Nothobranchius furzeri: one gene and its partner. The protein of the gene in region 1 purifies or fractionates together with the protein of each later gene. This does not show direct contact. Links are inferred from orthologs where the notes say so. Each region holds a gene or a part of one and is shown on either strand. Other genes may lie near its edges. The genes, in order: ppp1r7 and ubxn2a.

Evidence for each region.
Region 2: the proteins of ppp1r7 (region 1) and ubxn2a purify together in Homo sapiens (affinity purification with mass spectrometry; 3 studies listed by BioGRID and IntAct, counting the BioPlex papers as one, with this or other methods). This does not show direct contact. The link is inferred for Nothobranchius furzeri from reciprocal best matches to the Homo sapiens genes PPP1R7 and UBXN2A.

What each region holds. Positions count from the first base shown.
Region 1 is NC_091751.1:53,576,309-53,579,230, forward strand, and holds the end of ppp1r7 (protein phosphatase 1 regulatory subunit 7), read right to left. Parts: coding exon 2,908-2,922; intron 1,491-2,907; coding exon 1,314-1,490; 3' UTR 600-1,313; downstream 1-599. UniProt on the Homo sapiens protein: Regulatory subunit of protein phosphatase 1.
Region 2 is NC_091742.1:21,867,861-21,872,258, forward strand, and holds the end of ubxn2a (UBX domain-containing protein 2A), read right to left. Parts: intron 4,153-4,398; 5' UTR 4,134-4,152; coding exon 4,090-4,133; intron 3,996-4,089; coding exon 3,893-3,995; intron 3,777-3,892; coding exon 3,667-3,776; intron 2,622-3,666; coding exon 2,478-2,621; intron 2,097-2,477; coding exon 1,935-2,096; intron 1,490-1,934; coding exon 1,306-1,489; 3' UTR 731-1,305; downstream 1-730. UniProt on the Homo sapiens protein: Acts to repress the ubiquitination and subsequent endoplasmic reticulum-associated degradation of CHRNA3 by the STUB1-VCP-UBXN2A complex in cortical neurons.

The DNA of each region.
Region 1 (2,922 bases):
ATAACAGGTAATAATTCTTACACTGGAAAGAGCTTATGGTTTTCTGATACAAACCAACATTTCATGTAATTTCATCACCAACTGAGTGAGATCAAATATTAAATCAGACTAATTACACAGATGAACACTGGTGCAGTGGAATCTGCTGAATCTGTCGTATACATCTAGGTGATCTCATCCCTGAGGGGGTAACAGGTCGTAAAATTTGTTGCAGGTAGTCTCAGGTTGATTTAAGCAATCTAATAGGGTAAAAAAAAACTAATTTAAACTTGATATTTGTAAGCAATCCTACATTGTTAAAGCTGAAACATGTTCAAATTGTATGCCAAACAGAGAGTTTATCTTACAATAAAACAAAAAATCTTTTGAGGAAGTCCAGCCAAGACTACAAATTCTAATTTAGTATAGACCAGGTTTTAAGTTTGTTGATAATAAGCGACGACTGTAATCAGGAAGGAGTTAAAGATAAAATAGTAAAATCACTGATTATCCATGTTTTTGGACACATTCTCAAAAGGGGTTTACCTACAACAGAAATGAGTCATCAGCTATCAGGTTTTAAGGAAAGGAAGCAGCTGGACAACAACAAAAAAAACATGTTAATTGACATCCATTTATTTTATGACACATTAGTAAGAAACCTTTATGCTAAAAACTGGTCATTCTGCAGGTAGCACTCTTCTAAGTTACTGTAAATCAGCATAGAGTTGATTTTTATTTTCCATTAAGGTGTTCTTTGTGAAGAACTGGGGCCAGGGCATTTCTGAGAAATATAGTAGAATCCAGGAGTCAAACAAATTTAGATTCTACTTTTTCCCTTTTACATTTTCCCTTCAGCATTAATCTTTAATTGTTCTTATTGTGACTCACAAGAGCAGCATCAAACCCTTACATAATTTTTATGACACTGGAACAACTTTAAGAATTTGTTCAACAAAAAAGGCTTGTTTCTTTTACCCTGATGGGAACCCTAATTGTATCCAACATGCAGAACAATAACAAAAACAAGTGCAGAAAGGAGAAAAATAAGCAGATGTGAGCATATGGTAGACTTTCACTTTCACAGTTCCAACCATAATAAATAAAAGCATCAACACAACAGCATAAATGAAGGTTTGAATGACTGCATACATGCATTCATGTATGGAGAGTGAAGAATGGGGTGAGTGTTGGAATGTGTACACGGTGAGAGGATGACATGGAGAGGCCAAAGTGTTATCAGGAGCTGTTTTTGTAAGCAGGGCAGGCAGGGAGGGAGGGAAGGAGGCGAGGCGAAACACAAAAAGGTGGGCGGATGGGTCGTACGCTGCGCTTCAGAAGCGGATAAAAGTAGCGTCGATCTGGCGCACGCTGGGCAAAGCCAACATGATCTTTCTCCGGTACTGAGGGTCTTTCTGTAGCGGGTTTCTTTCTAGGTAGACCGTCTCCAGAGACTTGGCGTTCTTCAGCTCGTCCAGATCTGACCAGTTGTCTATCTGATTATCATTCATCTGAGGGGGGATTTAAAAAAAACAAACACACAGCCATCAGCACCAACTGAATCAACACACACACACACAAAAACATTTTTAAACTCCTTCTTCAGAGGCGTTTAGGCAGATGCGTGATTTATGGTTTTCCAGTTTCAAGTGCGCTGACATTCAGTGAATCTTCACGCTGCCTGCGCTACGTCTGCACCCTCCAGCCTCAAAGGTGGGAGGAGAAATAAACACTGACCTCAGAGCCTGTGGCTACCCAACGACCAGCAGTAACGCGTGCGTTAAGCAGCGCGGTGTGTTGAAGCTGTCATCAGCTAAAGAGGTAGATGTTTTCATCCAAGCGCATCACGGCCCGTGAAGAACGAGGAAGAGGTGATGAATAGTCTACGGCTGCAGGTGTGGATCTGCAGCCGTGCCCTTCTGAGCGTGACAGCGGGACGTCCCGAAGGTCCGCTCACCTGTTCACCGCTCAGACGTCCCGATCTTCTACCTTCCTAGATCATCCAGCTGTAACCTGTTCCTGATCATGTCTTTAGTCCCGCTGTAACACTGATGCATCAGTCTCAGATGGCATGGAGCTCAGGTGTTATCAGAACTACCTGTGTGTGTTTACCACCCAGCTGCAGCTCTTCTGTGGTTGGGTCTGACCCAAGTTAGTACATTTAAGTCCTCCATCAGATTTGTGCCTCTTCTAGTGTCATTTTAAAGGATTTTTATTTATTTATTTAACCTTTTCTAGATTACCAGCAACAGAAATGCTACTAATAACACACAATTATGTGAAGCTGGAAAAATTAAAATACTGTACAACATTACATTTATCTCAGTAATTTAACTAGACTGAGAGACCATTTAAAGGCTCAGGAACCTTTACAGGTGTTTCTATTTGCAATTTTAAATTTTGACTGATTGGGGTCTTGTTAAATATCACACAGTGACCTTTTAATAGTCTAGATAAGTGTAATGTTCCTGTTAGTAGTTCCTCCTGTTAAGTGCTTATTTATTTAAATTATTCAGGTTTATAAAAGAAAGCATTTGGACATACACTTTATTATGTTCCAGGCATTAGTCATTTATATTTCACTATTGTAGTCATTTATAGTAAATAAAGTAAGTTTAATTAAGAGGGGAACCCATTTTTCTTGTATTCTTTAACGAAAAAAGTAACCAAGTAGTTATTTTTCTTGGTAATTAGTTACTTTTATAATCTCGTAACTTGGTAAGTAACTGAGTTACTTTTTGACAAAGTAATTAGTAACTACAACTAATTACTTTTTAAAAGTAACGTTCCCAACACTGCCAACGACTAACCCAAATGAAGCAGAAGAGTTACTAAACGTGACTCAACTCGCTGTCAACAGCCAAGTATAAATAAAAAACACAACTTCTAAATAATCAAATTCTCATTCAGCCTTAAAATAATCCATACCCAGAACTCCTGCAG
Region 2 (4,398 bases), on another chromosome or scaffold:
CGTGGCCCAAGCGGGTTCAGAAGATGGATGGATGAATCTGTAAAGTTGGTCACCTTTGATCAAATATCATTATTATTAGTTATCTGTGAGGAAAACTGACTTTTATAATTATTTTCCAAAGTTGGGATTTTAAAAACTCTATTTTGGACTCCTTGGGGATGTGAAATGCAGTCCTGTGAAAGGGTATTTCTGCATTGTTGTCAGAAAAATAAAGATGGATACACTTTTTCTTAAATGGAAACAAATCCATATCAGTTCACAACCAGTCCTTATGGATCCCAAAGATGTGTTACTGATGAAAATCCTTAGTCTGACTTTAATGCAGCGATGCACCATCAGACCACACTAAATATAGTGTTAATGCTTTAAATTAAAAATAAATCTAAAAGCAAACCCAAATCAAACGAGCAAAACAGATTTGGGTGCAAATTACAGCAAATATGTGCTGAATAAGTGCTTAACTTTGGAGGTTTGTTAATGTTCTAGTTATATTTGAGGTTGTAATTTAATAGAATAGTAAAAACCAGCTTTCATTAGCAAATTTAACTCCAAATTAAAAGGAATTATTCAGACGTAACATTTTTATCCCATAAAAAGCTCAAATATAATCAGAGTCGACCTAAAGGCTGTTCTGTGGTCGGATGCTGATAAATCTCCCTTCACTGGTTTTTTGGCTCTTCTGAAGAGCTCCAAAGTTGTTGTTTTTTGGGGAAAACAAAACAAAAATGTACACATTTTAAAAGATTTTATTGTGTTACACAATGACTCGTGACGTCCATTTTAACGATTCGGTCAAACAACAGAACTTTTATAAACGACTCCTTTAAAAACAAACAAAAAATAAAACAAATGCAAAAAATAAATCACTCTAGAAACCCAAAAAACATCCTTAAAAGCAGGCAGACATAATACGGTAAGATAAAAACAATACGTGGTCGATAAACTGTAAACGTAAACCTATCAAACCCTTATTTAAACTGCAAACAGTGCATAAAGTAGTAGTCAGAGTTTGGGAAGACTTAGCTTATCATAGTTGCATTGTGGGTGGGGGTGGGGGGGAGACACTTGTTTGTCCTGTTCGAACATTCTGGGGTTTGGAGATTATCTTTGTCCTCCAGGAGAACACGACAGCATCCTCTCAGCAGCACTTAGTGACAGATCTGGTGAGTTAGCCTGCAGCTAATCACCCACAAACACCGTACGGGAACGCCGGCCGCCAGAGGCGGCTCAGGCAGCACAACAAACACCATTCGAGTCGCAGGACAGGGAGGCGTGCCGTGAGTGAGACTCCCGAGTCGGGACAGGTCACGAGTGTCCAAACAGAGGGTGCGTGATCAGGGGTCTCTGGACGATGACGGCGTGGGCCAGGTCTGCCTCCTCTAGACTCAGGTCTTTGTCGGTGAGCTCTCGGTAAGGGAGGGATGTGGTCAGGATGAAGGGTGGGCAGCTTCTCTGGCAGCGCGAGGCGAAGTCGTGAACATCAGCAATCCTGAGGCGGATTAGGAAAAGACACACAATGAAACCCAAATAGTCCCATCTGAGACTGCTGCTGCTGCACGTAAAACACCGTTCTCTGCCAAGCACTCCACTCCCCACGTGGTTTCATTTATTATTAACACCGACCCGTGTGTAAGAACGGTCCTACGGCAGCTCATCGAGACAAGCAGAGGACTGGAGGGGCTCAGCCCTCTGTATCCTTTAGCCTGTTATGTAAAAGCTGCATCCGAGTTATGCAATCCCTCACTGGGGATTTTCTAGATCTGCGCTTCTGCTGCTGCTTCAACTCAGATTATGTTTTTTACTGCAGCCCGGTGCATAGTTTAACCTTCATCAGACTAGACTAAAGCCCTTCCAAAACCCGTCACCACAAAAACAAGAGAAAAAAACCCTCAAACTTCCCTGCTATGTGTAATATTCTGGGATAACGGCCTCACCGATGCGATAGGTTGAACCTCTGGACCAGTCTCCGTCCGTCGGCCAACCAGATCTGCAGGGACGTGACAGGAAGAGAGTGGTCTAGTGTTACCATGGGAATAGGAGGAGATTCTCCATCCTCGTGCACAGATGGTGACCTGGCCACGACTCTGGGTGCCACGCTGGGAACGGACAGGGAGTAAACAGCAGATTAACCACCGGTCGAGTGTCAGCAGCACACGGAACGTGTTTTTATTTTAGTTTAAGCAGATTGTGACGTCTGAAGAGATTTATTTGTGCAGAATGTTTGGAAAAGCTGATGAACTAAATGTGACAAAAATGAGGTTTGTCACTTTCATTGCGATTGTGGTCAGTTTTGCTCAATGGGTCTTTAGATAAATGACTTAAGAGTGCCCCCTAGTGGTGGACAGTATTCTGGAACAATCTGTGCTTTTTAAAAATGGAATGCAGCCTTTTTAATGCACGTCTTTCAGATCTCCTATGAACTAGGGTTGGGGTTAGGCTGCATAACAACAGATTAGGATTATGTACTAGCAACAGACCTGCCGAGTCGGTACCCCCGCCCGCTGAAGGGGTGAAAGGCGGCGGCCTTCTTCTTGTAGACGTAGTTTTCCTCCGTCATGTCCTCCACGCTGATCTCCAGCTCCTCCTCTTCTGCTCTGCTCTCCCACTCGGCTGGAAGCTCCCTGGGACAGATTCAAAGTTCAGCTTGTTAACAAAACAATCCGTGAGACAAAGACACGGCCCTGATGAGATTACAAACACTGGCCGGTGTGACCCTAAAGGAGCATTCGGACATCGTTCTGGCACCTTCCTCCTCCAGAACCTAATTACTCTGGTAAGTTTCCACTAGTTCCTGGGTAGACGAGGCAACTGAAGTCTGCTGATGTGACAAGGCGGCTTCCAAAGTGGGTCGAGTTAGAATCTCTGATTCTGTCCCAGAGGCTGAAGGCTAGAGCAGCGGTTTCCTAAATGTTCAACGTTTGACCCACTAAGTAAAAATCAGACCCCAGCTTCTGCTGGATGGAGTAAACAAGCCGTGCTAATATGATCGTTTCCCTTTTATATCTTTATGTACTAAAAGTAAATATGTTGTCCTTTTCATCCAAATGTTGTCTTTATGTGTTTTTCTAATGTGCAAAAAACGAAAATCACAATAAAATAACTTGTTTTTGTTTAAATGTTTAGACTTTTGTGGCCTATTAGCAGCTTGATAGTCACAGTCATCCCAGTTAGGCTCCAAAGACGTCATGCTTGCTGGAGATCTTCTCAAGACCCTCTCACTTGGTGAACAGACTCCAAAGAGAATAAAAATAAAACACTAGCCTCGCTCTCCTGTGGTACGTTCGGCTGGAGGCTCCAGAAAGCTAGATCTAGATATTTCACCAAGTATTTCATTAAGGTTCCAAAGATGCTGATACTAAAAATGCTGATTTATTGTAATAGATTAATGAATTCAGTCATATTCCTTTTCATATGCCGCCATTCTTCACTCCTGGGGAGTTGTTTGACGCCACATGAGGAACACTTCTGCTCAGACGCATTAACAACAAGCTGTGAAACTTCCCAGACCGAGGAGGAGAGAACGCGACACCTCTTACATTTCTACCGGCTCAGAAGTTTATCGGCTTCATCTTTAATCTTTGTACACAAAAATAAAAATCAGATTTTGTATTTTTACTTCTCCATCTTGGACATATCCTGGATTAACCAGATTAAAAATAAACTCACCCTCGCTTAATGGCATCCAGGAACTCCTGATTCTCTGGCACTGAGTAGCTGCGGAAGTCTCCGTCGTTCACAGTGAAGCCGTCCTTCCACAACCTCACCACCATCTCCATCTGGGGGAGGGAAGGGGGGGAGGGGGGCGTGGTTAGTCTGAGTATGCGGCCGCACCTGGGGTGGGGTTAGCATCAGTAAATGAAGTGCATTGATAGGATTGGTGATGGTTTTAAACCTTGGACGTCCCCGAAGCATCGTAACAGATCTTCTCCACCTCATCGAGGAGGTCCTCTACTGAAAAACTCCGACTCATTGGAACCTCTTCTTCCTTCTTCTCACTGGAAACCAAACAGAGACGTGATAATTACCTGAACACAATCGGCTCAAGGGTCTTTAAGTGCAAACACTAGTTAGTGCACCGTGTGTTTTTACCATTGTTCACCCTCCTCGTCGCCCCCAGTGTCAGCCTCTTTCATGACGCTCTCTGTTTTCCATCTAAGTCAAAGCAAAGACACACACACATGCATGCATGCTGAGTGCTTGGATGAAAAGCAACTTCTTTTGAGTGATAATGCCTTCCAGCAAACTCAAAAGGTGTTTCTGTAGGAATGCGAGTCACAGACCCACCGGTCTGACCTGTGAGTCGTTAGCGTCATTGTTCCAAGTATTTCGGTCACATGTCTGAAGGTGTGAATGGTTGTGAAACTCTAGAGGAGAGCTGTAGGTGGTTGGGGTTTTTCC